Saccharomyces cerevisiae S288C: one gene and its partners. The protein of the gene in region 2 binds, or shares a complex with, the protein of the main gene of each other region. Each region holds a gene or a part of one and is shown on either strand. Other genes may lie near its edges.

Region 1 (5,397 bases), on a different chromosome or scaffold from region 2:
ATCAAAAAAAAGTTTTGGATCTGCAAGACTTGCTGTCACGCAACAATATTATAGCCACCCAGCAAAAATGTCAGACATCGAAGAAGGTACGCCTACTAATAATGGGCAACAGAAGGAGAGAAGAAAGATAGAAATTAAGTTCATCGAGAATAAAACAAGGCGCCATGTGACATTTTCCAAAAGGAAGCACGGTATCATGAAAAAGGCGTTTGAGCTTTCTGTTCTAACGGGGACCCAGGTCCTGTTGCTAGTCGTTTCAGAAACAGGTTTGGTATATACTTTCAGCACGCCGAAGTTTGAACCTATAGTCACGCAGCAGGAAGGTAGAAACCTGATCCAGGCCTGTCTTAACGCCCCTGATGATGAGGAAGAAGACGAGGAGGAAGACGGTGATGATGATGATGATGATGACGATGATGGTAATGATATGCAACGCCAGCAACCACAACAACAGCAACCGCAACAACAGCAACAAGTATTGAATGCACACGCAAATAGCTTAGGCCATCTAAATCAAGATCAGGTACCGGCAGGCGCGCTGAAACAAGAGGTGAAGTCACAATTGCTAGGCGGTGCCAATCCTAATCAAAACTCAATGATTCAACAGCAGCAACATCACACGCAGAATTCACAACCACAACAGCAACAGCAACAACAACCACAGCAGCAAATGTCACAGCAACAAATGTCACAGCATCCTCGACCACAGCAAGGAATACCACATCCGCAACAATCGCAGCCACAGCAACAGCAACAACAACAACAACAACTGCAACAGCAGCAACAGCAGCAACAACAACAACCCCTCACCGGCATTCATCAGCCTCACCAACAGGCTTTTGCCAACGCTGCCTCCCCCTATCTGAATGCTGAACAGAATGCTGCCTACCAACAATACTTTCAAGAACCGCAACAAGGCCAATACTAATCTTATCGATTTCCGTATATAATTCATAGACGAGCATTAAGAGGAAAAAGCTGTTTCCGTACCAATTAAAGAAAGATAGACAACAAGAACAAAAACGTACATTACTCTATATTGAAAAAAGCCCTATGTCGGTAAAAGAATAGGAAGTACCTTAGTCATCGGCACTTACCTTTTTTTTTACGATTACTTCTGGTTTGTTTCTTTGCCTCATTTCATTTTGCTGCCACTTTCTTTCATAGGCAAGAAGATTCAATCAAATCTCCCCTTCTCCTTCCCCGGATATATAAAATATAAATATAAAACTTTAAGAATATAAAAATATGAGAAACCACACATAACTTGTATACTTTACTCACATACACACATTTCCAAAAAAATTATAATGTTAATTACATTGCTTTTAATGCTAATCTTTTTTTAGTTGTATAATCATTACCATATAAATGCCTCTCGGTCTAATTTCATTGCCAGTATTGTAAGTTATATACTTTTATACGAGTGTACGGAAAATATCGTGGCTCCCCGTTAACAGTGAAATAAATCTACGCATGTAGCTGCCAGTTTTTTAAGCGTTATATCAATATTGGTAAAGTAAGAATTGACGAAGAAATTGTTAACTACATTTTTCAGAACGGCGTGTCATTCTCCGATAATGTCTGAAGCGATATTCCAGCCAACGGACATTGTCCTTGCCAAAGTTAAAGGCTTTTCAGCATGGCCAGCAATGATTATCCCTAATGAACTCATCCCAGATAACATCCTCAAGACCAAACCTGTGAGTGTCCACAAAGGCAAATCAGGTAGTGATAAAAAAGCAAATGAAGATATAGATGCAGACATGGAATCAGAGGCTAGAGATCGAGAGCAAAGCGAAGAAGAAGAAGATATAGAGGATTTTGGTGAGAGTGAGGCTAATCCTGAAAAATTTATAATATACACTCCCGTTCTGAAGTTTCGTAAAAATGATACGTTGAAATCGACTTACTGCGTCAAGTTTTTTTGCGATGATTCTTATATCTGGGTGAAGCCCATGGATATGAAGATTCTAACAAGCGAAGATTGTCGTAAGTGGCTAAGCGGCAAACAGCGGAAGAATAAGAAACTCATACCGGCATATGAAATGGCTATGAGAGGCAAAAATGGAATTGATATTTGGGAATTTGTGGAATATGGGTCTTACGGCAAGCCAGATGAAGAGGAATATGTAGAGGAAGAGGAAGAAGAGAACGAACCTGAAAAAAAGGCTATAAGGCCAACCAGGTCTTCCAGTAGACAGCGTCAGAAGCGCGCCTCAGAAACGGAAAAGAGTGAGGGCGGTAATAGCAATAAAAGGAAAAGAGTTACTAGATCGACTAGGCAACAAGCGATAGATGCTTCAGAAGAGGAAGAGGAGGAAGAGGAGGAAAAAGTACAAGAGGCTGTTAGAAAGAGGCCGCAAAGGACCAAAACTAAGAAAGTTGTAGTATCCAAGACTAAACCAAATCCAAAAACAAAGGCAAAGAAAGAGAAACCTAAACCACCTAAGCCAATCAAATATCATTTTGAAGATGATGAAGATTGGAGCATTGTTGGGTTGGGCCCACAAGATCTATCAATCGAAAAAACGATGGATCCGATTGCGAAAAAACTGTCGCAGAAGAAAAATCTAGAAAAGCATGTGGAGATTAAGCTAGATCTGGAGGATAAACTAGCAGGTATCAACAAGCTCCTGTGTGATGTCTTATGTTCAGCCATTAACCAGGCTGTTTCGATAAAGGATGATTTCGAAATAATATTAGATGAATTGCAGATTGCCCTTGACACCAGGGGGTCCAGAAACGAATTTATAACAATTTTCCAATCAAATAATTCCCTACTGTTAAACTTTAGGATATTATTTAACTTAAGAAAAAGGGAACTGAACAAATGGGATCTGTGGGATCGTTTCCAGGATATTTTCAAGCATATTTATTCCTACCAGTTCATACCTGATACGGAAGATTGGCAACTAGAGCAAAATATGGAAATTGAAGAAATGGATCGGGAAAAGCCGAGCTTTAGTGAAGACGTAAAGGAAGAAGAAAGCAAAGTAGGAGCATGACCTGTTGCTATTGCAGTTGATGTACTCTGCTTTTGAACAATAGAGGGGAAACCTGTGTACTATAAAATAGACTAAAACTATGTAACTTGTGTATGTTCTGATATGTATGACGCAGTCTTTGATAGTCCAAAACTCACCTAGACTGTGCTGTATTATTACAATTAAAGTTCTAAGTCTGTTGTGCATTATCATTTGAGAAATGGGGGAATGTTGAGATAATTGTTGGGATTCCATTGTTGATAAAGGCTATAATATTAGGTATACAGAATATACTAGAAGTTCTCCTCAAGGATATAGGAATCCTCAAAATGGAATCTATATTTCTACATACTAATATTACGATTATTCCTCATTCCGTTTTATATGTTTCATTATCCTATTACATTATCAATCCTTGCACTTCAGCTTCCTCTAACTTCGATGACAGCTTCTCATAACTTATGTCATCATCTTAACACCGTATATGATAATATATTGATAATATAACTATTAGTTGATAGACGATAGTGGATTTTTATTCCAACATACCACCCATAATGTAATAGATCTAATGAATCCATTTGTTTGTTAATAGTTTGAATGTTTTTATCGGAAGAGGTTTGGTCATTACGTCTGCAATATTCTTTTTGGTTTCGATATAGCATACGTGCAGATGATTTCCTGATACTTCATCTCTCAGTCTCATTGCTTTAGTACCAAAAAATCTGTTTCTAAATTTCTCTTCATTATTGGATATAATTATACTGATTGTAGATTTACTGTCGGTTAGTAATCCTTTGGTAATTGGTTTCTTGTCGAGTTCTTGTATCAGGTAACTTAGATTATTTAATAATGGGACAGATTCACTTATTGCGTGTATTTCTGCTTCCGTAGTTGAAGTACATGTTAATGAAGCCTTGGTGGACTTTCCTCCAATTACTTTTCCATTAAGTAAATATATGTTGCCAATTTGTGATTTATAATACGGTTGGTTACCATACGATGCATCGCTTATAACAACTAATTTATTTGTTGGCTTAACAGGTTTGCTTTTGTGCCATATTAATTGCTTATCTCTCGTATTCCATATGAACTGTATCAATTCATATGTCATATCTAACACTTGCTTGGACGGAAATAGTATATGTTGTGCAAGTGTGTTGATGTAGTATAATAGGTCAAATCTAAATTTATATCCAACATATGATGCTAGACCTATCAGCTTTTGCATTTCATGTACCTTCATTTTGTAATCATCTTCTTCTAGCTCTAGTTCTTGCTGGTCTATATATAGACCTGGTTGACCTGGAGCGCTAAGTTTCCTTCCTTTTGGGTTCAAAGGTACGTTTAGTTTGGGTATTTTTTCAGTTAATGAGTTTTCCATACCCAATTTCATGTATTTACCTCTTTGGTATTTGATTTCCAAGCCAAGAATGTCATATTGAATTTCCTCATCACTTTCGCCTAGATTTATAATCTTGGTGTCGTATTGCATCTTAAGCTTGTCTATAATTCTTTTGTTTGAATTTAGATTTTTGCTAAACAGTACCATATCATCTACGAATAAACAAATTGTCACTTGACTGTTTTCAAATACGCATGACCATCCACGAACTTCTTCCATACCACACTGTTTTATCAGGTATGATTTGATAGTTTCGTACCAGTTCGCTCCACTTTGTTTCAATCCATAAAGTGATTTCTTCAAACGTATCAACTTATCATTCATTCCTAAATGTGGTGGAGGTCTTATGTATAATTCTTCTTTGATGTCTGCATACAAATATGCCGAAGATATGTCTAATTGTGTAATATAGTAGTTATTGTCTAATGCAAGTGACAGGGATGTCATTAATGCATAGTGATGTACGGTATTGGATTGCATGCCTGAGTCGTAAGTGTCAGGATGCTGAATATCACCTCTTGCAACAAATCTAGCTTTATGAGTACCGTCACGTTTCCTGTTGAAGATAAACATTGAATTTATTACTCTTTTAGGGTCTATTTCTTTTCTGTCATAATATTTGTCAGTGTCCCAAGTTTTCATCTTCAACAGTTGATTGACTTCTTTGTGGTATGCCTCGATATATTTTTCTTTTTCTTTAATATCTTTATTATAGGTGATTGCCTCATCGTATCGTAAGGTTGTTCGTATTGGTTTGATTGATTTTACTGCTTTTACAGCTGCAATCAGGTGGATTCGTTTCTTCGATCTCGGAGGTTCTAAACTACGCATATTCTTAGTATTCCATGTGTCTCGTGATACCTTAATTTCAGTTTCATTATCTTCTAATGATCTTTTCTTACTGTTGATAGTAGTATAGGCATTAGAGTCACCAATACCACCCAAACTGGAATTAGTTTGACGAGAATTGATCGGTGGAAGTTCTTTAAAGGAGTCTGATAATTC
Region 2 (6,358 bases):
TGGAAGATCACTGTTTTGCTTTTGTGATACTGACCTTATAGGAGGTGCTATGGTAGTGTTTTTAGCGGGTTTCTGTTTTACATCAACAGAATTTGGCACGTAAGATGGATATCTTCTAGCGCTAGGAATATAATCTGATATAGTACGACTATGGCTTTTCGGTACTTTGATGGAAATTTCATTTGATTTTGACATATATGTTGGAGGTTCTCTTTCTGGAAGAGGTTCCTGTTGCCGTGTGGGATGCTGAGATTGTCCACTTTGTGATATTCTTCTGAATATGCCGCCTATTGTATTCTTTTCCTGATGTTCACCTACTACGGGTGAAGCAGAACGTTGCTGATATTCGCCAGACACGGGGACTGGTGTTGATTTCAAAACACCATTTAATTCCGTATGAATGTCGGAACTCTTCCTAGATGTTGGAGAAGTATGCGCTTGTTCCGGTATTGTTAGTTTAGGAGGAACCATTACATGCAGTGGAGGTTTGTTTGAGGTATTAGTGTTGTTTGAGGTTCCCGATGTTCCAATTGCCGGCACTTGAAAAATACCAGGATTAGGTACTACTTCTTTCTGAGGGCTCCTCATTTTGGTCATAATATCCGGGGAGTTATTATTTAAGGCGACCTTAGTGCCAAGTGCTACTTGTTGCTGTTGTTGCCTTTGCTGAGCTTGCGCTTGCAGGGCCAATGCTTGCCTTCTTTGCAACTTCGCTAATTTCCGTGCAACCATTTCTGAAACCAAGTGATATATTGATAGTAATGGATGATATGCTAAAGTAGGATCTTCAAAATTACTATCTGGTTCATTATAACCACTTTGCGATGGATTACTTGTAATATGATTTTGTATTAAGGTTTGTTGTGCCGTTGAATTTAGGTAGTTATTATTTAAACTTGAACTCAACCCCTTGGCGTTGGATAATTTGTCCCAGTATTCTTGGGAAAGTTGGATGTATTCCTTTTCAGTTACTAATCGGATCAATGATCTTCTTGTATCTTCAATATCGTCAATAAATTCTAGGCGATACATTTCCTTCAGAACTTGGCTATCTATCATTTCAGGGGTTAATGGAACACGATTAGGAACATATGATGGAGCCTTAAAATCGTATCCTCTGTTCATCCATGGATGCTCAACGACATTCTTTAATGTTGCTCTTCTTAATGGGTCGACAACAATCATCCTGGTTAATAAAGATATAACTTCAATGGATAAGTGTGAAGGATAGTCTACTTTACCTTTTTTTATTTTTTCATGTAAAATGCTTGAGTTCTCATCATCAAATGGTACTTTACCGCAGACCAAGACATAAAGAACAATACCAAACGACCAAATATCTACCTCAGGTCCTGTGTATGGCTGCGCTTTTAATAGTTCTGGTGCTGCAAAGTACAAGGAACCACAAAACGTATGTAATTGTTTCCTATAATCAAAAATGTTGGAAAGACCAAAATCAATGATCTTAATTTCACCTGAACTAGATATCATTATATTCTCAATTTTCAGATCTCGATGAACAATATTATTGGCATGTAAGTATTGCAGCGCACTAGCTATACCTCTGGCAAATTTCCTCGCATGGTGTTCCTTTAATGAGCCATGCTGAATAATATAATCTAACAGCTGTCCACCGGAAACGTATTCAAAAAGCATATAAAAATGGTTTGACATAGTGCACATTTCAAATAAACGACAGATATGAGGATGGTAAAGGATTTGGCCCAAAGAGGCTTCCCTAACAGTCCTTTTATCCCTCGCAATTTCTTTTTCTAACCGCTTTTGTCTTTCTAATATCTCACTCTCATTCTTTGGGGAAGGTAAAGAGTGCTGTTTATGGAGATAAGCCTTGGAAGCCCTATTAACAATCTTTATTACACAAATTTCCTTTGTTTGACGATGCTTGACCAATTTAACTTTACCCATAGAGCCTGCGCCAACCGTTTCAAGGAACTCCCAATCTCCCAAAGATCTTCTATGAAATTGCCTTAATTCCACGGCGCCATTAGGCCTCGATGCATCATTTTGTCTCTGAGCTGCCTGTTCCTTGCCCTGTTTGATATCTGCAGGAGGCATCAGTGGTGCTTGTTGCTGGTCATTTCTTGGTCCAGATTGCTTGCCCATCATGCGAAGAGTGGCTGGTGCAGCAACTCGCGTGTCGTTGAAAGCTTCTGGCGTCGGCGATAAAGATCCGCCCTTACTGGTCCTGAAATTTGGATTCACCAAGTAATCTGCTGTATTCGGATTAGGCATAGTGAAATACTTAACAATTGAGCCGCGATATTAATGGCACAATAAAACTTTTAGAAATTTCTTTTGAAAAGCGTTTCTCGGTACCTAATGCTGTTCGCGCTCAGAGTTCCGCTGAATTTCGTGTAATGCAGTATATTTTGTAATAAAGTTCTCGTGGCCCGTCCTTGACTGTGAATTTGTGTCAACGGCGTGCTCTATTCCTTGCTTAAACGGTGGCAAAGCAGGACTTCTAGGTCCACTTGAGCTCTTCTTTTCCTTTTCCAACCTTTTTAAATTTTCGTTGCTAGACCAAGTTACCGCTATCACCGCACACGGAATGCGAGAGCGTCAAAAGTGACATAATTCTTCCTTTCCAGCAACATTAACATTTATTTATTCAATAGTGACACGACTAAGAAACTAGATCAATTGCTCTATTTTACTCATACACACTGGCTAATCATATATAGATACAAAGCGGTGAATCAGCGATCGATGAGAACGAAGAGAACTAGGGGTACAAGAAATGTAGGAGCGAGCATGCCTGCCGGCGCTGCGAATGCGGATAGTGAAGACTGGAAAGAATATGTCTCCGAAGACATAATAGCCCAATTGAACAAGCACCAGCTGCCGTATTCTGAAATATTAGATGAGAAGATCGCGGACTTGGCCAATCACTGGCACTTCCAGTATGTGATGGCTTGGCTTTCCAATGTCTGCGAATCATATACTACAACGACATTTAATACTGACCAGTATGGCGGTAGCTCTACCAAATGCTTGTGGAAGAATATCAAATTCGATGAAGGTGTATTTGTAACTGACGTATTTTCGAAGATAGACGGGAAGGACTCGAACTATTACAATGATGAAGTCGACGTAGATGAAGGATCGCAAAATTTGTACGACAGAATTAGATTGCAATTATTGCATCAATTAGCGGGAAATAAAAGCGGGCAATTGAAAGATTGGAATGTTATAGTTAACCATCACTTGCAAAACTCGAGCGCGTATTCAGATTTGGTTACGGACTTACCTTTTTTGGAGCTTGAAATTGCACGCCAATTCGACATCATTTACAGTATCATAAAATTAATTGAAATGAAAAATATGATCTTCAAAAACTACTTAGCGAATAACTTGCATCTGTTTACGTTTAGTGAAGTTATACTGGATGATGATAATAGTGGAGGGGAGGAAATGAAGAGCTTGTTTGCCTTACCCAATGTTGGTGTACTCGTAAAGAAAACCATTCACAGAGTAAAAGAAGGCTCTTCCTCCCAAGTCTCTCAAACTCTGAATATCCCAATAAAACTACAGAACTGTACTATAAAAGAAAGCGACCCAGACATTCCTGATTCAGTGGAGCTTATTCATCTCGAGTACTCTCACGATATCGATGCATATCTTCAATCGATTACAATTGATTATGATGTGATTACAACTAATTGGGGGTCCATGCTAGAATACTGGTCAGAGAATAAAAGTTCGAAAGCCATAGATGAGTTCATAACTAACTTAATACCGGTGTATGCCGAACATAGACTATATTCGGCAAAACTTTTGGCCAACAGAGAAAAGGAGAGAGCAATTGCGGAGCTAATGACAAGGAGGAAAAGATCTTCGAGACTGGTAGCGAAAGAGGAAGAAAACAAGAAAAAAGACTTGGAAAGTGAGTGGTTTGAAAAACTAGATGAAAGAGAACAATTTATAAGGCACAGAAACAAGCTAGTGTCGAAGGAAATCAAAAAGATAAAAGATCTTCTTTGGAACCAATTGTGGCAATTGTACGATCAAGATTATAGAGATGAAAAATTGACCAGGCGTAACGAGCTCAAAGATAGAAGTGGTTCTGGTACACCGTTTTTTGAAACGTCTTTGGGCAGGGAGGAGGACAATCCCTTAAATGAAATCGATATCGGAGTTCTTGATCACGGCCCTAACTTTCAATCTAGTATAATCCCGGTGGAACCACCAATTCCTGGAACTGTTGGGCCACTACAGACGGGAGACGTCCCTGAATTGCCTAGTGACTTCTGCATAACAAAGGAAGAGCTAGATGAGCTTGCCAACTACGGGATCTTTACTCCGCAGCAAGAGCCCGACAACCAAGATTCTGTTTTCCAATGTCCGGGCGAACCAGAGCTGGCGCCCATGATTATCACCGAAGACACGGAGACTGACCTCTTCAATAACCGCCCATTGATATGCTGTGATCATTGTTACAGGTGGCAGCATTGGGAATGCCAACCTCCAAAAATTATAGAGCTTATATCTTCAACCACAAAATCCCCACAGCACACGCTGTCGCAACGTGATTTTGGCGTCATCATAATGGGAAATTCGCACGGCAATAGAAGGTCTTCTCGCAGACCCCAATCCACACTTGAACCCAGCACCAAGTCTTCAAGACCTACTGATAAACGCAAACCGCTGTCTGAATGCTCCACTTTTATCTGCGCTTGGTGCATCAGGGACTTGGAACTTGAGCTGCGCAACATTTTTGTGCCTGAATTGAAAATAATAAGGGCCAAACAAAGAAAACAACAGGAAGACCGTGAAAGAAGAAAAAAAATGAAGGAAGAAAAGAAAAGGCTCGAAGAGCTTGCAAAGAAAAGGGAACTAACCGAGTCTGTCTCACCTCCAGTGTTTAATAATGCATTTGCAAACATGTCAAGTAGCACAACGCCTAGTATCGCCGCTTACGAAAAAACAAATCCAGCCATCAATCCAGCACCTAATGTAAATGCCGCTCACCCCATAATTACATACTCGCAGCAAACTGGCAGCAAAACTGTACCACAAGCACCACAGGCACCACAAACATCACAAGCATCAATCCAACCACAGCAGCAACAGCAACAGCAACAGCAACAGCAACCGCTGCACCCTAAAGAACAGAACTTTCACTTCCAGTTCCCACCAACCAACTAGCCTCATATAGAAATACACAGCAAAAGTATATAGTAAAATATATATCAACTGGTTCTTCATGAAACTTTCTTTTCCAGCCGCACATCCGTAGGGCTTCTGTCGCTTCATGTCGGGTAATAATGATGCTTAGGGCTTAGCGCCAAAATAATTAGGGTGTATGAGGCGGCTCCTGACTAGGGTCAGACGGCATTTTTTCGTCTTTTTTTATCCGGTTTTTCGTCAGTGGCCATCCTTAATGCGCGGCAAAGGTGCTGAAGGCGCCTTATTGTGTTAAAAAAGCCAATGAAATAAAAGTGGGATGGTGAGAACGCCAAACGAGTGAAACAGAGAATGGAAACTCGCTTCTTCACAAGTATTTGATGGCTAGTTTTCTCAATTACTTGTTTCTTTGGATAGACACGAACATACAGAACACTTTCAACAAGACATAATTATAGAATGCTGCTGGACGTGAACACAAATCACACACTAATGCACGATGCTCATGTGCATGAACATTGCCTCATCAAAAGCATACGTGATGATGGCGCATTGCACTCATGGAGCGACTCATCAAAGGTATTTTATCCCAAGTCATTTTACGCTACCGCTACTAATAAGAAGAATAACAAGTTAGCCAGCGCCAGCATGAACAAGACCGCCACAAGTAATAGGACGGTGAGCGATGAGATTTATTTCCACTCCACTAAGCCGCAGTTCGATGGTCAAGGAAGCGCTGAACGTACTAGAACACTAACCAAGAGGAATAGCTTCAAGAGGACTAGAATACTGAAGGCTCGAGACGATTCCGAACTGCTGAACGAAAATCGCTCATCTTTGATGACCCCGTCCTTAAGCTCGGTCATGTCGCAAGTTAGGAAAACAAATTCCGCCAAGACGTTATCGGGCGAATGCCCCATACATGAGGGCCACTTAACACAGAGCATAAAGAGGAAGTTCTCCGAGGAAGCTCAAAGCGACTGTTCTTCATTGAGCTCCTCTAAACTTCATCCCTTGACAGATGATATTGCTGACGCTGTCGATTTGCAGACCCCCGCGATTGGCGATGAGGTACTGGCTGAGCCGGTCGTGCCCAAAATGAAAATAATAAACATAAATGATCTCGATTTGTTCGACGACTGGGAGGTTAAGGATTTAGTCGATATCTTTCCTCCCGTATACGAACGGCGTCCGCGATCGTCCTCTGCCCTTT
Region 3 (7,325 bases), on a different chromosome or scaffold from region 2:
AATCCACAAGAAATTTTTTACTCATCATCCGCTAAAAAAAGGAAAATACGGACGTTACTTACTAAATGTACGACGAACATGTACACAAATCTTGACTATTTTTGATAGATGCAGTCTCTTGAAATGACCAACGACTCAGTAGTGTTTTCCAAGCAATTTTACTTTCAACTGTTTAATATTTTTTAGAGGCTACTCGGCCGGCCATATCTAGACAATTAGTAATTCCGATGACAAAGAGTTTAAAACCACAATATCTGCCACACATATCGTGAAAGGCATTAGTTCCATTGTCTCCGTATTAGTGCAAAGCCCCTAAGCCAGCCTGCTTTAAAAAATGTGCAGGTACTTTTGTTATTGTTTTGATATATAAAGAACTACTATTTGCTAATATGTGATGTAGCGCAGAGAACTTGCATTTCCCTGCATGGCTGACCTTGACAAGAATACAATTAGCAACAAAAAGTAATAATTCAAAATGACCACATCTTTTTATGATTTAGAATGCAAGGACAAGAAAGGCGAATCTTTTAAGTTTGACCAACTGAAAGGCAAAGTAGTTCTCATAGTTAATGTTGCCTCCAAGTGCGGCTTCACGCCGCAGTATAAAGAATTGGAAGAACTATACAAAAAATATCAAGATAAGGGGTTTGTTATTTTGGGGTTCCCATGTAATCAGTTCGGGAAGCAGGAACCGGGCTCTGATGAACAAATTACGGAATTTTGCCAGTTGAATTATGGCGTTACATTCCCAATTATGAAGAAGATTGATGTTAACGGAAGTAATGCTGACTCTGTCTATAATTATTTGAAAAGCCAAAAAGCAGGTTTACTAGGTTTCAAGGGTATCAAATGGAATTTTGAAAAGTTCTTAGTTGATTCCAATGGTAAGGTTGTCCAAAGATTTTCCTCCTTAACAAAACCATCGTCCTTGGACCAAGAAATCCAAAGCCTGTTAAGTAAATGATATCTTTGTCTATAATCAAGCAATTATCCGGAACAATAAATAATACATTTATAGATTAGTATGATTATATATTTTTCTTCAGAAGCATGGTGTAGGATATATTAAAAAAAATCGAAATATAAAAAAAGAAGGTTTAATGAGTGGTTTCGTTTTCCGGAATTTTCTCTGCTACCAACTGTTCAGTTCCAACATTCGACGTATCCTCAATCTTCGCTTTTTTGCTCTCTACTCCATCAACGTTCTCCTTCTCATTAGCGGTCTGATCTGCAAATTCTTCCCTTATCCTTTTACCATTTTCATCTTCTTTCTTCATTCTATCTTTAGTGGCGTCATCCAATACAATCCCTGCGTTAAATTCCTTTTCCAAGCATTGCAGTAATGTATTTCCTCTTCTGGCTAGCTCTACAGGTGTCCTGCTTCTGAAGTAAAAGTCTAATTCGAATAGGGGACAATCTCTAATTTCATCACGCACTAATTCGTATACGTCATCTCTATCCAAGCCATACTTGAATAACATGAGAAGGATAAAACGATCTTCTTCTTCAGAGTACGTCCTTTTGTTGTTAGAAGAAGGAGGATGTTTTAATTTCAAATCGAAGAATGGATTCTTATACTCAGACAACTTCCGACGTAAAGCCTCTTGTTGCATTTTGACACGCTTGATCTTCTCTTCTTCATTCTCAATTATTTTCAGATATTTCTCATAATCTTCAATTCTTTCAATGTTAGACCAGAAGGCCTTAGCATATGCGCGAACTTCCTCTAGTGTTTTGCCAGGGGCCAATTCTCTCGCAATGGCTTGAATGGAGTTCCTACCGTATTTACCAGATACCGTGATGAATTTTCTAAATTCTAATTTATTCCAATTTGTAAATCCTTCAGACTCCCAATCAGCCTTCATCTTTTCTTCCTCTTCAGTTAATGGTTGCGAGTTGTTAACCGACAATTTTAACAATTCCAATTTTTGTTTCTTTTCTTCTTCATCTGAAATATCGCCATATGCTGCTTTTACGTCATCCATGGTCGGTACATAACCAGTCTTCTTCGCCGTCCACATTCTTTCCTTTTCGTACAGGACTTTCAATTGGGGAGGTTGTAATTGATGGGAATGGAAGACATGAGGCTTAGGCATTCTGGGGTGTGATGGGGTCGAGGACCTTCCTGTATTCAAAACATCTTTATAATAATTATCAATAGAGTAATTTTCCTTACGTTCACGTTTGGTGGGGTTGAGCAGTAGCGGACTTATAATATCCCTTTGTATTTTCTTCTTGAAATCTTGACCATTCCATTCATAGGCCGAATCTTGGTTGAATTTTTGCAAATCATCAAGACCTAAAGTTTCATATTTTGCATTTAATGACTTAGTTTTGTTTTCTGATTTCAGTAAAAGTTCGTCCAGATCAATATCATCTCCTTTTTCTCCTGAACCAGGTTCCGGCGTACCAGCTGAACCGGTAGATGTACCACTTTTGAATACATCGGCGGCACCATGTTGAATCATGGATAATAAAGCATCTTTGGAATCTGCTTTATTTTCCTTCTTTTTCAAAGAAGTCCTGTTTTGCTGGATAACTAATTGATCTAATCTTAACTTCTGGGTAGCCCTTTCTAAAATTTTCTCTTCCACGGAGTTATCTGTGACCAAACGGAATACCTTGACCTGCTTCTTCTGACCAATACGATGCGCTCTATCCATTGCTTGTAAATCTGCTTGTGGGTTCCAATCTGAATCATACAAGACAACGACATCTGCTGACGTTAAATTGATACCTAACCCACCTGCACGTGTCGTTAATAAGAAAACAAACTTCTTAGAATCAGGAGCATTATAATCATCAATGGCTTGAATTCTATCTTCGTGAGCGGTGGAACCGTCGATCCTGCAATATTCATAGTTTCTGAAGTAGCAATAATCCTCGAGAATATCCAATAATCTTGACATTTGACTGAAAATCAGAACTCTAGAACCTTCTTCCTTCAATTTCTTCAATAACTTATCCAAAACTTGAAGTTTGGCAGCGTTATAAACCAAGTGCTCATCCGTAGTGTACGGTGGACCTGGCTCAGCACCATCGAATAAATATGGATGATTACAACATTTTCTAAGTTGCATCATGATATTTAAAAGTCTTGTTTTGGATTCCTTGCTGCCATTAGACCCGTTCACAGCGTCCAGATCCTTTTCCAAAATCTTTTTGTACCATTTCTTCTGCATGCTAGACATACCGACATATAAATTCAGTTCCTTTTTAGGCAGTAAGGATGTTTCCACATCGCTTTTGATACGACGTAGTAGAAAAGGCTGTAAAACAGTGTGGAGTTGCTTGACAATTTTATCCTGATCTTCCTCTGTGCTTTCAGAAGAAAACCAATCGTCGAAATCTTGTGCATCGGAAAAGATATCTGGTAACAAAAAATTTAATAACGCCCATAGTTCATGCAAATTGTTTTGCAAAGGAGTACCAGTAATCAACAGCCTATTACGTGAGGTAAATTCCCTTAAGACTTGCGAAAGCATTGACTCTTCATTCTTGATTCTGTGAGCCTCATCAATGATAATATACTCCCAGTTAATCTTCTTAAGGGGCGACTTTTCTCTTATAATAATTTCATAAGAAGCAATCACAACATCAAAGTCACAACCTAAAAGTTTTTTTTGGATCAGTTCAGCTCTTTCTTCTTTATCTCCTTGCAAAATAAAGGCGTTTACGTCTGGCGTCCATCTATTTATTTCTCTCAGCCAATTATTTAAGGTAGACTTAGGCGCAATGACTAAAAATGGACCTGGAATTTTTTCAATGTACCTAAGATATCCCAGAAATGAAATAGTTTGCAGGGTCTTACCTAAACCCATTTCATCAGCAAGGATACCCGCTATTTTGTTCTTATGCAGAGACACCAACCAGTTGACACCTTGGATTTGATAAGGTCTCAATTGACCATTAACGTAAGCAGGTGATTCTCTGAATTGGAATTCAATGCTCTCATCATCATCCGAGTCTTCTTCTTTCAATAATTCCGCATCTTCTTCGTGTTCAGTCTTTCGTCTACGAACATCTTGGTGTTTGCCTTTGCCTTTGCCATTTGCTTTATTTTCTTCTAATACATCTAAGACCTGCCTGAATTTGGGATCTTTAGCGGCTTTACTTTCAATAAAATGCTTGAATAAACCACTCAAGGATAGCAGATGTTCAAATCTTTTTGTAGTGCCTTCCAGATCAAACTTTTTACCATTAGCATCCTTCAGCAGGTAACGTTTTTTATTCGATTCAGGATCATGTGGAGGGAGACCGACCTGGAACGGTTTTAAATTCTCCAAGTACTCTTCTGAAGCAGTCATAATTGAACCAGATGAAATACAATCGTATTTTTTTTTTTCTTGCAAAAATATGGCGAGAATAATTTTGAATAGGTTCTCATCTTTGTCCTTTTCATTGCAAGAATTGTTTTCGTGTTTTTTTCTCATTCTAGTATAGAACTTGAAAAAGTGAAAATTTGCAATAGCTAACATATAGGCCATAATAGGGTATTTCTACATCCACCTCTAGCTGGTTTTTGCATAGCTATACATATGGACTCTATTCAAGAATCAGATGTACTAAATGCAGTGAAAACAAAACTACCGCCGTGTTGTTTGAGAATATTCAGGAATAAGATCATCCTTGTTGGGACGTATGATTTAGATAAGTCAACTGGATACAGGTCAGGCTCACTGGATGTCTTCACAATGGACCTCAAACTTTTATGTTCGAATAATACGTATGGCGCAATCCTAGATTTGAAGTTATCCCCCTTTGATGATACATTGATATGCACGGCCCATTCGACAGGTAATATCATGCTATGGAGGATACGGTGCACAGATAAGGATGATTTCCAATCAAACGAACTAGATATTCATGCAATTGCAAATCTACAACTCTTTGAAAAAGATGTTCTCATTGCCTCGTGCCATTTTTCCCCACTTGATTGTAAGAAATTACTTGTAACAAATACGGCAGGCGAAGCAGCTACCATTGATATAAGAACACTATCTGTACAGTTCACGGCATCAGCAATCGCGCAGGCTTACTCAAAACTAGATAAAATAGATTACGAAGTTCAAGGTGCAACCGAAAAAGTCATTCATGTTGAATCGGGACAATTTTTGAAACCCCATGAACTCGAGTGTTGGACTGCGGAATTTGGATCTCTACAGCCTTTTCAAGACGTTGTATTTACAGGAGGTGATGATTCGAGAATTATGGCCCACGACTTACGTTCCAAAGAATTCATTTGGAGTAATAATCGTATTCATGATGCTGGTGTTGTTAGCATTAAGTGTAGTCAACCTAACTTTCGAAATAATAAACCCACGTCCATAATAACTGGATCCTATGATGATAACATTCGTTCTCTGGATTTAAGGATGATGGGTGAGTCCATATTTCCTGGTGCAAATGTCCCCACAGTTAATAAATTGGCGTGTGATCTTGGTGGCGGTGTTTGGAGATTTGTTGAATCCCCCATTGATCAGGAACAATCTCACCACAACGGCTCCGATCGGCTTTTAGTTTGTTGCATGTACAATGGTGCCAAGGTGGTGACCATGAATGATAATTCCGATGAGTATTTTCAAATTCAACATTATCTGAAGAAGGGCCATGATTCGATGTGTTACGGTGGCGACTGGTCAAATTCTTTGATCGCAACATGCTCATTTTATGATAATTCCTTGCAAACATGGATAGTTTAGAAAAAAAAATTCAGTCTGCAATATATGGACTAATATATAGGCTAATATATAGGCTAATATATAGGCTAATATATAGGCCATATTTTGATGATTTCGATAGATTATGCATAAAGAATTGATAGGAAGGAACTTGCCTGAACAATAATCTTTTACTCTATATTTTCTACTTATTATACATGATTCAGAAGCTTTGTTGAAAGGGGGAAAGACCGAGCGATATAAAATTGATGAAAAATTGATATTACAGCATCAATTGACATCAATCATTAAATCATCATTAGCTTCCTGTGGATCAACAAACTCCCTGCTGGCTCCTGCCAATAGTTCTCTTCTAATCTCAGGACCGATATCTTTATGGCCTCTTTGACGAACAGTTTCCAACAAGAAATCTCTCTGATCCTGGGTAATATCGTTCTTGTAACGTTGTGCAAATGTTAAGAAAGCCTTGTGCCATATCACTGGGAGTACTCTTGTAGCATCTTCCCCATTACTACCGTCATCCAAAATTCTAAACCTCATAAAGTAATACACGCAGTCGTCCACCGTCTGGTACGGTAAAGCATATTTTTTATCGAGCAATATTTTGATAAAAACAGTTGTAGGTGGAGAGAAAGGTAGCCTTAAAAGATAACTCAAGGCAGCTGAAGAATGTAAAGCCGGAACAGAGACTTTAGCAAGCACACTTCCTGCAATTGTCGCTTCACGTACATTACACCCTGTTTCAACCAATGGGAATAGGAAACCTTTGAAGAAGGCACTTGGTTTATAAAGCGATTTTTTCACCGCACGGTATATATGATAGTTTAAAGAGTGGTCTTCACTGGTCTCGATATTGTCACGGAAACGTTCAAGTAAAATTAGGTTAATAAATTTTTGAGATTCTTTAGCAGTTAGGTTGGATACAAATAATTTCGTTGCTTCGTAAACAACGTGTGGTGACCATTCTTCCGGGTTGGTCACATAAATGACATCTTGCCAATTTCTTAAGGATGGGATAACCTTGAACAACTTTGGCAACTTACCGTGCGTCCAAGTTTTTAAAATACTACCTACCGTAGTATATGCTTTGATGACCTTCTCTGGAAGTGCAACACCCTCTCCACTCTTCAAACCGGATGAAATATTGCCTCTTGAGGTATTCTGTTCATTAGCAAGTGGTTCATCATCTTGCATATCTTCAACTTGACTTTCCTTTTCTCGGATAGAGGCCATAATCTTGTCTGCAAGATTATAGCTACCACTTAAAGAGTTAAAATCATCTGATTTCTTGAAATATTGCTCAAACATCGCTGCGTCTTCTTCATCGATTTCAACTATCTCTTCCTCTTCTTTATAATCACCTTCGGGTTCAAAATCGGAGATGTCTTCTCCAAAAGCTTCTTCGTCTTCGTCTTCGTCTTCGTCTTCATCATCATAGCTCATGGTGGTGAATCTGGCTTCAAATTGCTTGTTTCTTTCTGATTCAGCAAGTTCCTCACCTTCAATTTCATCCTGTTGTTCCTTGGCCAACTGCAAAATTTTTCTTGATGCTTTGGAGTCTATGTATCCATCTTCCTCATTTGCAGCATCGTGATTTGCAGCATCGTTCTGCGCTAGCTTCTTTTTATTGATTTTTTTCAAGGT

Evidence for each region.
Region 1: IOC2 (region 2) and IOC4 share a complex: the UniProt entries of both Saccharomyces cerevisiae proteins name them as parts of the ISW1B complex.
Region 3: IOC2 (region 2) and ISW1 share a complex: the UniProt entries of both Saccharomyces cerevisiae proteins name them as parts of the ISW1B complex.

What each region holds. Positions count from the first base shown.
Region 1 is NC_001145.3:353,804-359,200, forward strand, and holds IOC4 (Ioc4p), read left to right. Parts: upstream 1-1,580; coding exon 1,581-3,008; downstream 3,009-5,397. Other genes in the region: transcription factor MCM1, read left to right, coding at 68-928. UniProt on the Saccharomyces cerevisiae protein: Functions as a component of the ISW1B complex, which acts in remodeling the chromatin by catalyzing an ATP-dependent alteration in the structure of nucleosomal DNA.
Region 2 is NC_001144.5:328,485-334,842, reverse strand, and holds IOC2 (Ioc2p), read left to right. Parts: upstream 1-2,727; coding exon 2,728-5,166; downstream 5,167-6,358. Other genes in the region: serine/threonine protein kinase KIN2, read right to left, coding at 1-2,253; GIS3 (Gis3p), read left to right, coding at 5,605-6,358. UniProt on the Saccharomyces cerevisiae protein: Functions as a component of the ISW1B complex, which acts in remodeling the chromatin by catalyzing an ATP-dependent alteration in the structure of nucleosomal DNA.
Region 3 is NC_001134.8:707,053-714,377, forward strand, and holds ISW1 (chromatin-remodeling ATPase ISW1), read right to left. Parts: upstream 4,488-7,325; coding exon 1,098-4,487; downstream 1-1,097. Other genes in the region: glutathione peroxidase GPX2, read left to right, coding at 476-964; RRT2 (diphthamide synthase), read left to right, coding at 4,539-5,702; snoRNA-binding rRNA-processing protein ENP1, read right to left, coding at 5,952-7,325. UniProt on the Saccharomyces cerevisiae protein: Catalytic component of ISW1-type complexes, which act by remodeling the chromatin by catalyzing an ATP-dependent alteration in the structure of nucleosomal DNA. They are involved in coordinating transcriptional repression, activation and elongation phases.